2 linked regions of the Caenorhabditis elegans genome follow. The protein of the gene in region 1 interacts with the protein of each later gene in a pairwise test. Each region holds a gene or a part of one and is shown on either strand. Other genes may lie near its edges.

Region 1 (8,310 bases):
AGAATTGTCATAACTTTCACAAAATACAAATTTAGTATCGCAAACTATTTATATGAAAGTATAAGTATACCATCAAAGCATTGCCATATTTCTGTGGGGATTGCAGTAAATAAGTATTTATTAGAAAAATAATTTATAGAGTTAATTCAGGCTTCCTCACAACAAGTTAAAGCCTTTTTTCACAATATCATCCAGTTGAAACTCTGGATTAGTCAACTGCAAGAATACAAAGTATCGATTGAGATCTTCATAGTGTTGCCCAACAACTTGAAATACGTCCAATAATTTTGTGAACCTGATTGGACCATCTTGATAAAAAGTAAGCATACAATATTTAAGAAGACTTGAACTGTAATAACTTTGGAACGAAGATAGAAGAAGGTTTCCCGTATCTGAGAGATCTTCAATAGCTGCAACAAATTGTACATTTTTGGCAATTGAATTAAACTGAGAGTGAGCTAGATTACATACCTGGACTACTAAATATCAATACCAATAGTAATAAAAACTCCTCGTTTGTAATTTGAAGCTCACAACATTTGGCAACCAATCTGAATTTGATCCGTTCTCCGAGTTCGATTCCCAAATCCTCTATCAAAATATTCGACCCATCGGGAAATGTCAATTGTTTCTCTCCCAACAGATAATATCGAAATGCTTCACAAAAACTTGCGACTTTCACAAAATTCTTTTGTAGAATAAACGATTGATCACGTGAACTTGATTGATATACGAATGGGAATTTTCTCAAAAAATCCGAGGTAGAAACTGCAACCAGATAAAACCAATCTCTATAGTTCATAGGATGACATCTAGGGATGTACTCTATAACATCGTTCTGGACGATTTGCCCAATAGTGTAATCTCTATATTTAGGAATAGAGTTTAAATAAAGTGTACAACGATTGAAATTCACTTCTGATATAAAATCAGTCAATGGTTCCAGAGATGTATTTTGGAGCAATGACTTGATGTTCATGCCAACTCGAATGCACTTTTGAAATCTGCAGAATTAAAAAATTGAGCTGAGATGGAAGAAATCGAAGAAAAGAGGTGGGAACTTTTTGTTGGAGATTTTTAATCAATTTATTAAATGAAATTCCCTAGAACGTGTTTTAAAAAATTGGTAACTAATTTTTCCAGAAGACATGCGATTTCTCGTTAAATTTGAAAATCTGGTGTCACAGCAAACGACTCGAATGGAATTATCGTCAACCTTGACTATTTACGAGGTTCAAACTCTCATTTTTCCCGGAGAAAAGTATTAGGTTGAGCTTCGAGGTGTTTCACTGGAAAATAACACTTTAGTTGCAATGTGGTCACAGGAAATTCGAGCAGGTAAAAGAGAAACAATCAAAATTTTTTTAATTTTCACTAAAGTAAAATGTGTGTGTTTTTTTTTTTGAAATCCAAAATTTAAAACTCCCCTGAAAACTTTTTGTGAAAATATTAAAATTTGAAATTCGCGCCAATTTTTCTTTGAACAAATTTGAATTTTGATTTCCTTTTTTTTTTTAATTTTCAGAATTTTGCCCTAAAGAACTCGCGGATCTCCTCGAGAAATGTCACGTCTTCATTGGAAAGGAAACTGCTCAATTGCAAGAGATAAAAAATCTCTATCGGTGCAAACCGAAACCATACTGGGATTATATCTACAACTTCAGAGGCAAAGTGATGGAAAAATACATCAAGGATGATAACGGCCAGCCAGGAAATCTCAAATGGGTTTTACTATGTAGTATTTGTTTTTGATTTTTAATAAAGTGCATTTCCTAAAAAAAATTTCTTCAAAAATATTATACCTCCTACGAGCCGTGCTCATACATAGCAATGAGTCTACTTAAAGCCTTCTTTCTTGTTAGTCATTTCACAAATATGAACACTATTTCCGAAAAATTTATTTAAAAAAACAAATTTATAAACAAATAGCTCATAAATTTTTGCATTCTATGCTTGAAATGTCGTAAGAATGTGCATCATCATCAATATACACCCACCATGTGCCCGAATATGCTCCTGTTTCAAAACAGTACACAACTTGAGGTGCACCATTCGTATTTCCGGAGATAACAGTGACCCCATTGATCAATGTAACTTTAATAAAAGTTCCAGCAGGACATGTGAATTGGCTTCTGCAATTTTTTTTATTCTTGAGAGAAAGCAGCAATAACCTACGAGCAAACGTCGGGTAATGAGGAAGCCTCCGGAGGCCCCACGCCTAAAGTATAACTGACTGGAACCTGAGCAGCTGTAGAGCACCAATTTGATGCACTTGGAAGTCCAAATCCTTGGCAGCCAGAGTTGTAAATTTTTGAGCAAACATTGCAGGCTGAAATAGAAAAATATGAGATCAGGTCTAAAAAACGGTTTCAAAACTCACGGAAAGGTGCTTCAGTCGGTGGCTCAATTTGTTGAGTGGGAATACAAGCAAGCAAACCTTCAATTAAACTCAAAAATATGAGAAGCTGCTGGAACATTATTAAAAAATATTAGGAATAATAAATCAGATTAAATAAAAGTACGATATCAAATTAATCGACAACATTCTTTTTTTGATCCTCCTCTCTTTGCTAAGATTACGTAAGTGATAGGATTATCCAGTTTCATGAGGGATAAACAGCAAATCAGGTGGGACAAATGATCAAGATCAAACAGAAAACTGTCAAATGCACTAAAGTGAACAGAATGTAGCAGCCGACGTCTAACGGGGTTTATTTTGAAATTGAACATATTTTTGACATTTTAATTACACCTTCAGATACATATTAAAAAAGAACCTTATAATATGCTTGGTAGTCATTTGATACCTTCCGAACAACTTTAACATTGATTAATCTACGATAGAAATATTCTAGAAAATCAGAAAAGTTTTTTTTTCGTCTTCTTAAAAGCTGAATGATTTCTTTAAAAAATTGTACAAAACTTCCAAAATATTTCAGATTGTATCTATCGAGTCTATAGCCTATAGCCTAGAGCGAAAATTGCGCTTTTTTAAAGATCAAAAGCTGTTGGTTATCACATTAATCATCGATCAGTTCTGATACTTTTCGCGCAAATGATTGGCAAAAGATCCAGTTTTTAAAAAAGTGATAAGATTGATATACAAACAATTGATATGTAAAATGAAAATGGTTCAAAGTGGCAAAACTGTGTTAATAAATATCACAAAAACTGTAAGTTTGTTCATTCGAATTTTGGTCATGAATTTTGGGAAACTTTTTTGTCCACCGCGGGCACAAATTTCAGACCACCTGATGAACATAGAACAATGTATTGTGGCTTAACAACTTATTCACCTGCAGACTCGTGTATTACTCAAACCAAGCGTTGGTTTGAATCTATTTTTTTCCAAGACGCAAATGTTGAAAGTTATATATTTTGTGCCTCACAATGTTTTTCCAATAATAAACCTCAGAAGTTCCAGATCGGGTCTTGTGAGATCACAGCTGAATTCGAGAAACACGTTTTATTTTTCCTTGTTTCATGTCTCGCGTGTATTATGTGTAGGCGGAACAGTAAAAACTATACATGTGCCGGAAATGTGAATAGCTTCCTGTTATTACTGTCTACCAGTTGTTTTCGCGCCCAGTTCATTGTTCTGGTATCAGCTTTTTGAGAAAATGGAGCTTCTTCTCGTCATCCTTCTGTTCCTATATTCCACAATTTTTATTGTTGGTTTCACTGGAAATTTGTTCATGGTTTTGGTTACACTGCATAGCAAGTTAGTTTTTTTTTGATAAGTTTCACTATCATATCGATTTTCAGCAAGCTCCGTTCAATTTGTAACATATTAATCTGTGTCTGCTGTTTCTGTGATCTTTTGCTTTTCACCGACGTCATTGCATTTGTAGTGTCAATGCTTACACCATTAACTCAAGGTATGCTAAAACTTTTTAAAAAAAGTTATTCAGAATCTTCGAACTTATAAAATTCAGAGTTGTGTTTCTACATCAGTATTCCTGCGGATTTCGGAGCTTTTGCTTCAAATGCATGTGTTTTGGCTATTGGGATTGATCGATTAATTGCAGTAGCTGCTCCCACAAGGTATAATTTGCCTGCTTTTTTTTGGAAAATTGAAAAGCAAGAAATTTTCGTTTTTAGATTTTCTAAGGGGTTGTAAGTTATACGATATTTCGCTTTTCACCTGTCTGAACATTGTGGTTTATATCCACAATGGTATTGTTAAAATGAACACACAACTTTGTGAGATCTTTGAATTAGGTAACTAAACTTTTAATTTGACTTACATTTATTATTATTATTTTGGAATCATTTTCTTTTCACGCTATTCCTACAATAACTGTTTTAGATACAAATTGCTGGAAAACGAACGCTACAAGTATTTGTTTCTTCAAATGACGTTTCCAGTCATCTATTCTTCAACTTTATTGATTATGGGATTTGGACAACGTGATCCAAGAAGGTGAGGTTTTAAATTAAAATTTCAAATTTTAAAACTAATTTTCATCTTTAGAAATGTGGTCTGTCTACTCCCAGAATCATTGGGTCATGCTTATGACATGTTCGCTCTTTCTTCCTTTGGCATTAATCTTTTTGTACCGCCGATCTACGCATACGTGTATTTTAAAGTCAAAAATATGAGTGACAGTGAGCTGCCGACAGTTTTAGAGTTTTGAAAATGTAGAAACATTTAGATAATTCTATCAAAACCGTTTTCAAATCACTATCGGTTACTGTATGGTTTGTCGTGTGCGGTTGGATGACAACTGACTTGATTGGTGCGCTTACAGTAATACTTCCGATGGATAGGAGCGTGGCAAGAATGGTTCAGCTCTACTGTGGAACTTTTATATTCACGTCGAGTGCTTTTAATGCAGTTGTGTATTATAAATTCAGGTAATTTATATTTTCTGTAGGGCTTCCATGCAGGAGTCGAAACTTCAGCCTCACAGACGTTCAAAAAATAGACGAGGAGGCCGGTAGGTATTAGGCAAGGAAGTCCTAGAAAAGCATCCAATGTGAATTAAATTATGGTTTTATTTCAGCCGTGACTATCGTTCAGCAATGCGTACAATGCTGGGTCTGTCCAATGAAGTTTCCATAGCTGATATTAATATCTATCAACAAGCTTCCGATCCACCAAAGTCAAGTAATCAGAGACCATTTACAAATACAAGCTGATAACTTTTAAAATAAAAAAGTGGTCTTTCACTCATGTGTGCTTTTTGTTTGAATACTCTAAATTTTGTGGAAATTATGTTCTACAAAAATTTATCCATACTTTTTCAGATCTCTGAAAACCGTGACTTTTACAGGAAACGTTTTACAGAATAACTAGAGCGACGCATTTTCTCAGAATTTCTCTGAGAATTGTTGATTACCAAAAAAAAAAATCAAGTTCCATGTTAATTCAGTTGAAGAACACCAACTGTTCAGGGAACACATTTCAATTTGTTAGATTCCTGCAGGCAATTGTATTATTTAAATGCAAAAGTATTGTTTTTATCATAATTGTCTTTAACTGCAAAATGATGTTATTAAATAGTCTGTTTGCCTGTTTTCCGATAAAAAACAAAAAAAAACCATTTGCATAATTTGTATTTCCTGCTTTACTCTTTTCTTTTTATTCATTACCGCCCCTACCTATTTGATTTACGAGACTTGTGTTAACTTTACAACCACTTCATAGTTATTGCCTTTTTTCGTGCTTTTTTTTTCAATTTTTGAATTTTCAGACTTGAGTTAGTTGAAGCCCATTTTTGCATTTGACACCCAAACAATGGAGTCTCTTCTTATTATCCTTTGCTGCATCTATTGTACAGTTTTTGTGGTCGGAACAACTGGAAATTTGATAATGGTTATGGTGACTTTTTATTGCAAGTATGTACATTTCTATTTTTTTTCTTTTTTTTTTTTTTTTTTAATTTAATTCTTTCAGAAACCTCCGCTCGATTTGCAACATTCTAATCGGATTCTGTTGCTTCTGCGATCTACTTCTTTTCACAGACATAATTGCTTTCATGATCTCTATGTTCATGCCCATTACTCAAGGTAGATAAGCAATTCAAATGTAATTCTTATTAATGCTTACCTTTAGAATTCTGTTACTTTATGAGCATCCCCGCAGATTTTGGAGCATTTGCATCGAGCGCATGTGTACTGGCTGTTGGAATTGACCGCCTTATTGCTGTAGCTCTTCCGGCAAGGTAGTTCAAATATTGATAGATTTGGGCGTTCAGTTCAAAATTTAAGATATAAAACCTTGGAACACGATCGTTTCTGGTACTTATTAATATTGATAGCTTTCCCTGTTGTATATGCATTGGCGTTACTGTATATTGGATTCACACAGCGAGACCCCGGAAGGTATGCAACACAAAATTGAACTAGCTGCTTACATACGTTGAGATATTCCAGAATCGTGGTTTGTCTAGTTCCCGAATCGCTGGGACATGCGTATGACGTGTTCGCGCTCACTTCTTTTGTCATTAACCTTTTCGTGTCACCAATCTATGCCTATGTCTACATGAAAATCAAAAAAATGGGATTGAGTAAGCTATTTTTCAATTTTAATAGTGACGGAAAACAAAAACACAAAATACAAAATAATTGAGGAACCACAAATTTCCAGACAGCTCAATGAAAGCGGTTTTTAAGTCACTCACGATTACCGTATGTCTTGTGCTTTGTGGTTGGATGGCTACAGACACAGTCGGAGCACTTTCACTAACACTTCCGATAGACAAGAATGTGGCCAGAATGATGCAGTTGTACGCAGGAGTTTTCATTCTTTCTTCTAGCTCTTTCAATGCATTTGTTTATTATAGAATTAGGTACGATATGGGTGAACATCTTTTCCGGTAGTTTGCAGTGATTCAAATTATTGGTTTTGTTTGCCAAACTTCAAGTTGGAACTTTGTCGCTGAATTTTTAAACTTTTAAAATGTATTCGAGAAATAAGCCAAGACTAAATTAAGTAATTAACCTTAGTCGCTTATTCCTTGAGTAACCTTTGATAGTTCATATTGAGGAAGCATAAAGACCTTGGACAAACTTTGGTCGGACCTAGGCCAGATTATGTTTCAGATGTTGAATATGTGCCAAAATTATGCTTACCTCAACTTAGAACTAGCCAAAAAATCCAAAACTGTGCACCAATCTGACCAAACTTTGAACTCATTTATTGTAAAATAAAGAACGACAAATTCTTTAAAAGCATCATTTACAAAATTATAGCCGTGACTACCGTACCGCAATTCGTGCAATGCTGAGAATATCAAATGCGACTTCTGTATCCAAAGGATCCGGATATCGAGATACCACCGATGGAGCTAGATCGAGCACTCACAGAAGATCAACAATCACTGTTCGTACAAGCATGCACATGTAACCAGTTAATATTTTTCATATTTAATCGATAATAAAGAAGTGACGTAGTTCGAAGAGCACAACTGTGCACAAAAGTTACCAAATTGTCTCGCTGTGAGTCTCATTCTAATCTTTTTTGAAAAGTTTGAAAGTTTATATAGGAAAAACAAAGTTTTGAGGTTTAGATCAGCTTCAGAGAATTTGACGTTGCAACAAAAGAAGACACTCGTTTCCCACCAAATAAGACTAGGCACGTTATCAATCCTTCAATAACAAATCCAAACATCTTCGTGGCAACTGTTAATGGTCCGACTTCTCTTATATTGACAATTCTTAAATTGTTAACAAAATGTGAAGAGAGAACATTGAAAAATAATAGTATGAAAAAGTCGAGAAGTGCAATGCGAGTGGCCTGAAACCTGAACTAGTGTAGTTCTCTTAAAAAACCTTTTAAACTCACTCTAGAAATTACACAGTTTTTTTGCATCTTCCAAAAATAATTCCAAATGAAAAATCAGAAAAAAATAGAGTAGCCGAAAAGGCTCCATTCACAAAATACACAACCAGCTCGCTTGAGAAATAAAACGAGTTATAGCAACTGTTTACAGCACAGAAAATACCATTACATTTCAATGGTGCATCGATATCATTACCACAAAACCCAAAAAGTATGTATTGATCGAGAAATCCCTTTGACAAAATAATGCAGAGAACTAGAGCATTTGGAAATTTATTCCGATACTTATGGAAATAAACTGGGATAAAAGTTGCAAAAACTCTCTTAATGGATATTAAAAGTGCCAAAATTGACCTCATACTTCCAATTGATGTAGATGCCCAAACCAACCAAAATGTTAAGTTTTTAATTATAAAATCAGTTGAAAGCGACATTAAAAGATAATAACCAATGCAAATTGATAAGCTTAAAGTATAAAATAGATCTGCTCCAAATTTCCAATAGATGAATGTCATGCTTGGGTT
Region 2 (9,005 bases), 3.8 Mb from region 1:
AAATTGAGTGGGAAACAACAATTGGTTTGGGGCGAGAAAAGAAAAATAACAGAAATAGAAAGAAAAAAGGTACGACTATAATGATGATGGGATGACAAGAGGAAACAAGAAAATTGGGAAATCAACATTTTTCTGTCCAATAGGAATTTACATCCATAGGAAGACGACTGCAGAACTTACGAGCCGGTAGAAGTGAATAAGATTTGATTCCTTCAACTTGATTAAATCTATTCAAAAATACTACGTTAGTTACATTTATTTCTTAAGTGAGCATCTACTCAAAGTTGAAATGACTATAAGTAAAGTAATCATTCTAGATGTGTTGCACAGAAATTCGCGTTTACATTCTACTACGATAAAATCAATTGATCACATGATATTCAGAAAATAAACAACATAATATTTTGGATAGAATACTGACTGAAAGTTCTAAATGATAATCGATATCAGTAAGAGTTCCGCTAATGTAGGCAATAATGACATTTGATAAATTAATAAATTCAAACACTTTCCTAACTGTTTCAAATTAGAATGCTTCAATTTACGAAACAGCGTATCGGATTTCATGAGCTTCTCTTTTACTCTTACTCTCTCTCTCCATGTGGTTCATTTCTTCGATTAACATTTGACGTTGCAAGCTAGACTTATAGAGTGTTCTCTTCATAAGACTTCATCTCATTTTTTTCTAGATTGACAGGAAAAATGAAGAAAAAAGGAGAAAATAGCTGGCCGATTGAGAAGAGGACGACTACTGACTGACTTAAATCTCGGCTCTCACATGCAGAAAGAGAAAGAGAGTGAGTGAGAGAGCTTCAGTAGCAGAAGCAGGAGCAAAAGCAGCTCGCGCAAACATACACACATGCCTATGCACATTATAAAGAAGCATGGCGGCGGAAGCAGTAGTCTCGAGATGAGAGAAAGAGATGAAGAAAAGAAGAAGAAGCAGGATCGTCGAGAAATGGCACAACGGAGTGAGCCACCGAAAGAGAAAGAGAGAATAGAAGTGAAGCAATGAGAAGAAGAAGCAGAAAAACAGAAGAACGAGAACTAGGATGAGGGCACATGAAAGAAGTTTAGAGGAGCAGAAGAAGAAGAAGAATCGGATGGCTGTAGCCATCAGTTTGTTGTATGTTTAAATGTGATGAAATGCAAGAGGGGCATGTGTCACTAATGTTCGTTTTGATTTCTATCTCAAAATATCTTTCCCATGTTTTCTGTTACATCTTTAAAGTTTTTTTTTGATAGACTTCACCTTACACCAAGTTAAAATCATTTTAAGGATTTCTTTCAGAGTATTTTTTCCGCAGATGTGACCAAAAAAATAGCAAAAGAATTACATAAACTTTTTGGAGGGAATTTAAACAGGGAGTTTAGTCAAATTTGAAAAATAAAGTTTTTTAAATTGAATTTTTAATTTTTTTTTCGCGATTTTTTTCGTTTTTCTTTTGTGGTATTTTGCAAGTTGAGACTATTTCGAAAATTTTGACGGCAAAATCGATTTTACAACTTTCCATAACCAATTCAGCAACAAAATGTAAAAATCCACTCGACTTCTGAAACTACCGTACTCCTAAAACGGATGAAAGGTGTATGAGAGGGTGAGAGAAAGATAAATTGCGACCAATTCCATACAAATAGACATTTTAGTTCATTTGGTCTACGAAATTCGCTCAAGGCAAAAATATCTCATTTCAATTTGATGCTCTCGTAAATGTGTCGATTATACTGGTCGTGTGAGGCACGCGCGCCTAGCATGGAAATGAATGAACCCAGTGAAAGGGTTAGTACACGTATAATCCGTCTTAATAAAATGGTCAATTGAAAGAAAAGATTTATATGACTCGTTTAGTATATTGGAAATATCAGTAATAACATGTCTCAATGTTGAACAACGGAATATCTTTGAGAAGAATAGCTCCAAAAATTTTAGAATTAAGAATTTTATAAATTAAACGATGAACTAATTTTAAAGACTCTAACGTCTCCAGCGTTAGAAATTAAAGGCTAAAAGCTTTTCCTACTTGATACATCCGGTGAAAACTCATCCAATTTGATAGATATTTTGGAACTCGTTGAGGATGGGGGAGAAAGAGATATCATCTACATATGAGATCCATAGTATTCCAACAATTTGATTCTAAAGCCACGATGACGCGACCGTCATTGACGACCAACGACGTCGATGACAACAAGGGCGACTATTTGAAAAGAGTCGCAGTCGTTGTGTACATTAATCCTGTGCTGATCTACCCGGAAATGAAGTAAGAGGAGGTGTGAACAATATGCAATGGGATCAACGATAAAAGAACGAATTTCGTATACCTATGTTTTAAAAAACACACAATATATCAATATACTTAACAGACTGTTGTTTTTGTTCTTAAAGATCAAAAGTAAAGTTGAAGACGAATAAGATTATGAAAATGCTCTTCCTCGAAGGACAGAAGAGAGCCCATCTTTTCAGCTAAACCCAATGACGTGGAAAATCGAGTATATGTGGATGTGTATATGTGTGAGTGTATATTTAAGAGAGAGAAAGAGAGGGAAACAGAAATGAGTCCGTGTTTTCGCGCAGTTTGAAAAATAAAAAAGAAAAAAGTTACATTGGACGTCCATGAGAAAAAGGGACTACGGACCAGCAATTGGTGCTAGTGAATGGATCAGTTTAGATGAACAAAGGATCTTTGAACGTTCGAACCAACGCAAAAGAAAACCACAAAACGAACATAGAAACCTACATGAATATATTTTTTCTCGGAGTCATATTTGAAATCTCTGATGATTTTCCTAGTTTCTTCCTTTTGAAATTGAGAAAATTCATTACAAAAATAGTGAGTATTCGCAGATGTGATAGAATTGAATAGTTTGTGCTTACTTGAGTCTAAAGAAAGCTAACAAAATGTCGGAGCCCAGCATTACTCCGCGCCGCGCTTCACTTGTTTCATGGATACTGTTTCCTAGCAAAAAAAGTTTTTGAGAACACTTCACCGAAAAATGTCTTTGTATGCGTAATACTAATGTTTTGTGCAGAAACATACATAATGTTAGCTAGTAAAAAATGAATGTTATCGTAATACCTATTATTCTACAAATTTCAGTGATCTTGTATAATCAGATAAACTTACCATAACTAGATATAACTCGTACTTGACAATTTATACATTGCACTTCTGAGAAACCATATAATTATAATTTCGAATCATAATAATTTTACAGTTTTCCCTTTTTTTAAAGGATCATATTTAAAATACAGTGCCAAAAAACTCAATAAGTACTAATCAGAACTATTGAGATTGACAGTGATCTTAAAATAACTGTTGAGTGAATTTTTTTTTTAATTGACTGGCAAATAAAATCCGTTGCAATAATAGAATGTGTACTGTCGCACTCAAACAGTGATGATGATGGTGGTGATGGTTGAAGTGATTTGAATAATTCCGACACCTAGACCGGTACCTGCGTTTCAGAGAGATAGCAATCGAAAAAAATGTTCTAATTCCCAAAACTTTTCGAATACTATGACGAGTGCTGGCCAGTGGGCGTTTGTTTCTGCAACAATGACAACGAACACCCGGCTGTCAAACAAATATCGTAGGAATTGGATCGAAAGCGTATTTACTATATATTTCTAGCGGGAAACAAGGCACACAAGTTGTTTTTTTACATTGTGCTTTTTTTCGCTCCTAGTATTACTGGAACACAAAATTCTGAGAATGCGTATTGAACAACATATTTGACGCGCAAAATAACTCGTAGCGGAATCTGCAGTAATTCTTTACATGACTACTGTAGCCCTTGTGTCGATTTACGGGTTCGATATTTGAAATGAATTAAAATCATTAATTTATCGATAGTTTTTTTTAATTAAGCAAAATAAAAAGAAAACAATCCGAAGAAACAAAAGAAATGGGAATATCGATGTTACTTACTGTTTGAAAATAAATTCATTTCAAAAATCGAGGCCATAAATCGACACATTCATAGAATTACTGTAGTTTTCGCTACGAGATATTTTGCCCAATGCACATTCGAAAATCTCTAGTTTGGCATCAAGGATCGTCGATGTAATAAATCAGAACAACGTAAAATTGACTAAAAACTAGCACTTTTTATTCTAAATATCAGATTAATTTCCATTCTGTATACAACTCTATCTCGATATAACAACAAAAAAAAGTATTTCAACACCGTGACCATCTCAACAAATGTGATGCTTGAATGCTCGGTCTCACGAGCAGTTGATGAGAAAAATCTGCATTTTTGCCGCTCCTCTTCTTCCTTTTTTGCATTTCTCTATGCGTCTCTATTTTGTATACAGAATTTGCCGCCGCCTTAAGCTAAAATAGAAAAGAAAAGGGAGCTCACTATACTCGAAGTAAAAAATCTTTTCATCGAGAGATTCCGGTAGAGCCAGCGGCGAAAAACTGATGACGAGAACAAAAAAAAAAGAGAATTTTGAGTGTGAAGTTGCAAAAAGTTCAGCGCATGGGCTGCATTTAGTGTGACGAAAAATAGTTTTATGGTACATATGAATACATTTTTAAGTGAGTGAAGTGAATCGGAAGAGAGAGAGAGAGAGGCTGGGAGCTAACTGAACGAACAAGATCTAAAGGAAGTGAGAAAGGAAAAAAGAAAGAGCAAGAGAGCAACAGCTTGTTTCCCTCTCGCATTTTTCTTCGAATTGCGCCTTTCAACAGCTACTTTTTTATGCACAAAACTCTCAGTTATGGGGAGAAAAAGAAATGAAGGAAGCAAATTTACGTTGGACGTCGTCTTTGAATCGGTTTTCCTCTTATTTCATTTATCCGGATGAGATGAGAGAAATTACAGATCGAGAACGTAACAAAAATTGTATTATCTCATTATGAAACTAAATTGTTCTTACAATCTTTGCAAATTATCCAAATTTACGAGATAAATACTATAGTTCTATAAACTTATAACAATAGTTCTCTATGAGAAATTTAATTATAAATTGGAGTTTGCCTCATTACAATTATCACCATTTTTGAGTGTTTGGCAGAAACAGGTGATAACGTTTTTCACTTAATTCAACACGATACTCACGAAAAATTTCACCTGCGCTTAAATTTCAGATTAGCGAAAGATATTTAAATTCAGATTCTCAAGAAGCAATGGAAAAATATTTAAATTAAAAGAGGGGTCTTAAAAATGAGTGTGTCTTACTATATACTAATGGTCCGACATTTACCGGGTTCCGCGAATCTTTTCGAAAACACACAGAAGTGGCGCAACCCGGTAGATGTCGGGCCATGATACACAGTAAGAGCTACTGAGCCAAATTCCAAAATTACTTTCTAATTGATTAAAAAAGCTGGAACATTTTCAGTGAGGAATTTACCTAAATACACTTATACTAGTCTAACATGGCCAAATATCACAATTAAACACTTCAAAAATTCCCATCCACAGTTTTTGGTAAATTGCCAATTTTGTTGGATTTTTGAGAAATTGTAAACATTCCTACAAGGTCTAAAATTTACAATGTTCAAATACGAACAATTCTAACGCAATTAAAATATAAACTCGTACGAGAGAATTTTTGATCGACTTCGAAAATGATGTTAGGCGAAAACTGAGTTTTTGCCACTTTTTGACTACAAACGAATTTCAAAAGATTTTTGAAACAAAGCGAGACATTCAGGAAAGCGAGAGAAATCAGGAAGAACACCGATATTGACTAAATCATTGTTTTCTGTGGAAACTATGCGGAAAAAATTTGCAAAGAATTTCCCAGTTTTATAAAATAAATTAAAAACTAACCTGCGATACCGTCTTGATATAATCTTCCTCCTCTTCCTTAACAACACTGAATCCTTTGGTGAAACTTTTCCATTCAACGCGTATTTATTCTTATTTTTACCCCAAAATCCTCCAGATGATATTGTCCGACTACTGAAGAATTTCTGAAATAAAAATTTAACATTCTTTTGCTTGTCAGTTTGTCATGCTCCTTACCATTTTATGACATATTGACCCGTGAAATTACTGAAAAAATGGTAAGTTTTGAGAATAAGATCGTCTGGATCAAAGTATAATAGAAGCGACCGACAGCTTCATAGAAAATAAAATACATAACAAAACATGGAAACAAATAAATTTATCTGGTCATTGTGAGAAATTAAAAAAACAAATACAGTTTGTGGTGAGATATTGTTAATATTCATCTGGATCTTCTCTTCCAGGAAATTGAATCCGTTCTCGAATTGGACGTTCAACTCTTCCAGGTCGTATGGCGTGTGCAGAAGACCCTTGCCGTGATACGATATCATCCTTTTCGTAATCTTTTTCATCAGTTCTCCGTTTCTTGACTGGAGTGGTGTCATCAGAAGCTAACGAACTACTTCCCTCGCCGAAAAGAAATCCGCATTTCACAGCTCCTCGACCCTGAAAATTATTTTATAACATTTTAGAGTTTGTGAGTATTTTGTGAAAAATATAAGATCATAAATAATGCATTTCTTCAGTTAACTATGTTTTGTTGAGAGATCCACTCAAAAACTAGACCGTTTTAGTATTCACATTAATTTTTCGTAATTTGCAGAAAAAAACATATAACTACTATCTTTGTGACACAATAATCAAAACAATTTGATCGAATCTCTACATAAAAACCGCAATACTTTTGGGAAATTAACAATATAAAAGAAATATGGTATTTGAAATTAAATTTAAATAAATCTGATTTTTGAAATATTCTAGAACTAAGGTACTGCAGGAACGATGAGATATCATAAATAACCATTTAAAAAAGCAAATCGAGTTTAATGTTGAATACCTGCTGAAACTAAAAAATCTACAAAATAGGAACATTCTACAAATTTCATCACTTCTTTTGCATATTCCTTCTCTGTAATGACTGAAAATAATTGCTAAAAAATTATATAATTTTTTCTAAATTTTTTTAATGATATTTTCAATTTTGCAAATCATAAAAATGGGCTAATTATTTTTGAATTTCCGCGCAAGAAAATGAACTTAACTTAATGAAAGAAATTCGCAGAAACTTCTTTAGTGTTTTTTAATCTGAAATATTGAGAAGAGAAACTATTAACCCTAATTAATTTAACCAGAAAACGCCGAAATGTCAAAACTAGGTCATTAACTTGCGTGGGAATTCAAAAATAATTAGCCAATTTTCAAATTTTTGCAAAAGTGAAAATAAAATCTTAAACATTTTTTTAACAGTTATATTCTGTTACATTATGATTCATTTTCTATAATTTAAAGCAAATTCCAAATCGAATCTACTCTACCGTTAATGAATTATTTGAATTCAAAAACTCACTTTAATTTTGATTCCCTGTGGAAGTTTCACTTTCTCGACTTTCTCCTCATTTTTATCTTCGTTGTAAAATCTTGTATCATGCTCATAATCCCATTCGAGTTCTTTTCCTTCTTTATCGAATACATTCAATCCTCCACGATTTGATGACTCATGTGTCCAAAACGAATCATTTCCACGTTTTACGCCGGTCTTTTTAACTTGACTCCGATCTGATGTTACCATTGTCTTAAATAGGAAACATTTGTTTTTTTTTATAGTAAATTCATTTTCAACCTGATATTCATCCGTCGTTGCATATCGAATAATGACGAACATGTTGGCTGGAACGTGTTTTGTTAATACTCTCCATTTTCCATTTGGAACCTCGCGAGCATTTATGTCTACAGTAATAAATTCGTTGTTCTTCTCACTTGCGACGATTCCTTTTTCTGAAAACATTTTGAAATTATTAAGATCTTCTGATCTATTTTTCTTCATCAAAGATTTGAAGACTAGTTGCTTGTTTGCCTACTCAAGCCTCATAATAAAGAATGAAATGTCAAAAGCAGAATAATCGCATAAGCAAACTCGATTACATCCGTTCATCCACACCATACTCATTGTCCTCCCATCAACTCTATATTTACCCTCGTGCTCATCTACGACACCTCTGATGGGAGGTCTTTTATTGGACAATTTTAATATGATTATGTGGATGAGTATGGAAAACAATATTATCAAAGTTAGGGGAGATAAGTATATTTTTTAAAGGTGGAGTAGCGTGGAATTTTGCTTAGGAAAATCCAAAAAAGTCTCAAATTCAGAAACACCAGAAAGGAAACACGAATAAAAAATCGTGAAATAATGAATATCCTACTTTGAAAAAAAAACGCGATGTTACATTCCCTGTTTGAATTCCCTCCAAAATAAGAATTGCGACCAATCAGCGATTCGCTCGGCCCACTTTTAAACCAATTAGACGGATTGCGTGGTGATCAAAATTTCTGATTGACCCGCAAGTGGGCGAGTCCTCTTATTTTAGAGGGAATTCATACAGGAAGTTCTGAAATTTAAAATAGCGTTTTTCTTAATAGAAGGATTTTCCATTATTTTGGGATTTTTATGTTTTTCTTCTGTGGTATTTCTGCATCTGTGACATTTTTGATTTTCCTAAGCAAAATTCCAAATTAAGCTGCTTCATATTTAAATTTTAATATAATAATTCTGTATCTGAAATACACATGATGATCCCTAAATCAGATCATCTAGGTTACACATTGCTCGACATTGTAGGGAAGTGAATGATGCGAGTTGACCCAGTATCCTGTTACTTCATTGTGCGGCTACTGGTGACTGCTCCATTTCAAAACAACGGGTCGATTCTCCCCTAAACAGAATGGGAAACATAACACGCGTCGGTCAATCGTCAATCGAGAAGGATCGACGACAAAAGAACATACAAACATATCGACGCGATCTACTATATGACAGAGAAGTAGTAGAAAGGGGTTATCCTCTCGATTGGATACGGTGTGAACAACGACCCAACTGTGTAGTAGTAGTAGAAAGGGGAAAACTAATAATGACAATGTAAGCGGTATTATTAACCGTCAGAATGACGGATTGAGATAGAAACATTAAACTAACACAACACACTCTCCATTCTTTTTCGAGTACTATTATTCTTTTTAATTTGTTTTGCATATGAATGTAGAGT

Evidence for each region.
Region 2: the proteins of srsx-36 (region 1) and pkc-1 interact in a two-hybrid assay, tested with the Caenorhabditis elegans proteins (one large-scale study listed by BioGRID).

The regions. Positions count from the first base shown.
Region 1 is NC_003283.11:15,804,951-15,813,260, reverse strand, and holds srsx-36 (G-protein coupled receptors family 1 profile domain-containing protein), read left to right. Parts: upstream 1-3,617; 5' UTR 3,618-3,620; coding exon 3,621-3,721; intron 3,722-3,765; coding exon 3,766-3,878; intron 3,879-3,935; coding exon 3,936-4,044; intron 4,045-4,309; coding exon 4,310-4,423; intron 4,424-4,474; coding exon 4,475-4,608; intron 4,609-4,655; coding exon 4,656-4,857; intron 4,858-5,006; coding exon 5,007-5,142; downstream 5,143-8,310. Other genes in the region: nhr-282 (NR LBD domain-containing protein), read right to left, coding at 157-410, 472-979; F54B8.1 (C6 domain-containing protein), read right to left, coding at 1,931-2,132, 2,176-2,329, 2,381-2,477; srsx-38 (G-protein coupled receptors family 1 profile domain-containing protein), read left to right, coding at 5,741-5,841, 5,900-6,012, 6,059-6,167, 6,214-6,327, 6,379-6,512, 6,593-6,794, 7,198-7,351.
Region 2 is NC_003283.11:12,026,150-12,035,154, forward strand, and holds the start of pkc-1 (Protein kinase C), read right to left. Parts: upstream 5,983-9,005; coding exon 5,980-5,982; intron 5,928-5,979; coding exon 5,785-5,927; intron 1,736-5,784; exon of another isoform or gene 1,599-1,735; intron 1-1,598. Other genes in the region: Protein kup-1, read right to left, coding at 6,178-6,408, 7,310-7,534, 7,583-7,737. UniProt on the Caenorhabditis elegans protein: PKC is activated by diacylglycerol which in turn phosphorylates a range of cellular proteins. PKC also serves as the receptor for phorbol esters, a class of tumor promoters. Involved in neuropeptide secretion in motor axons.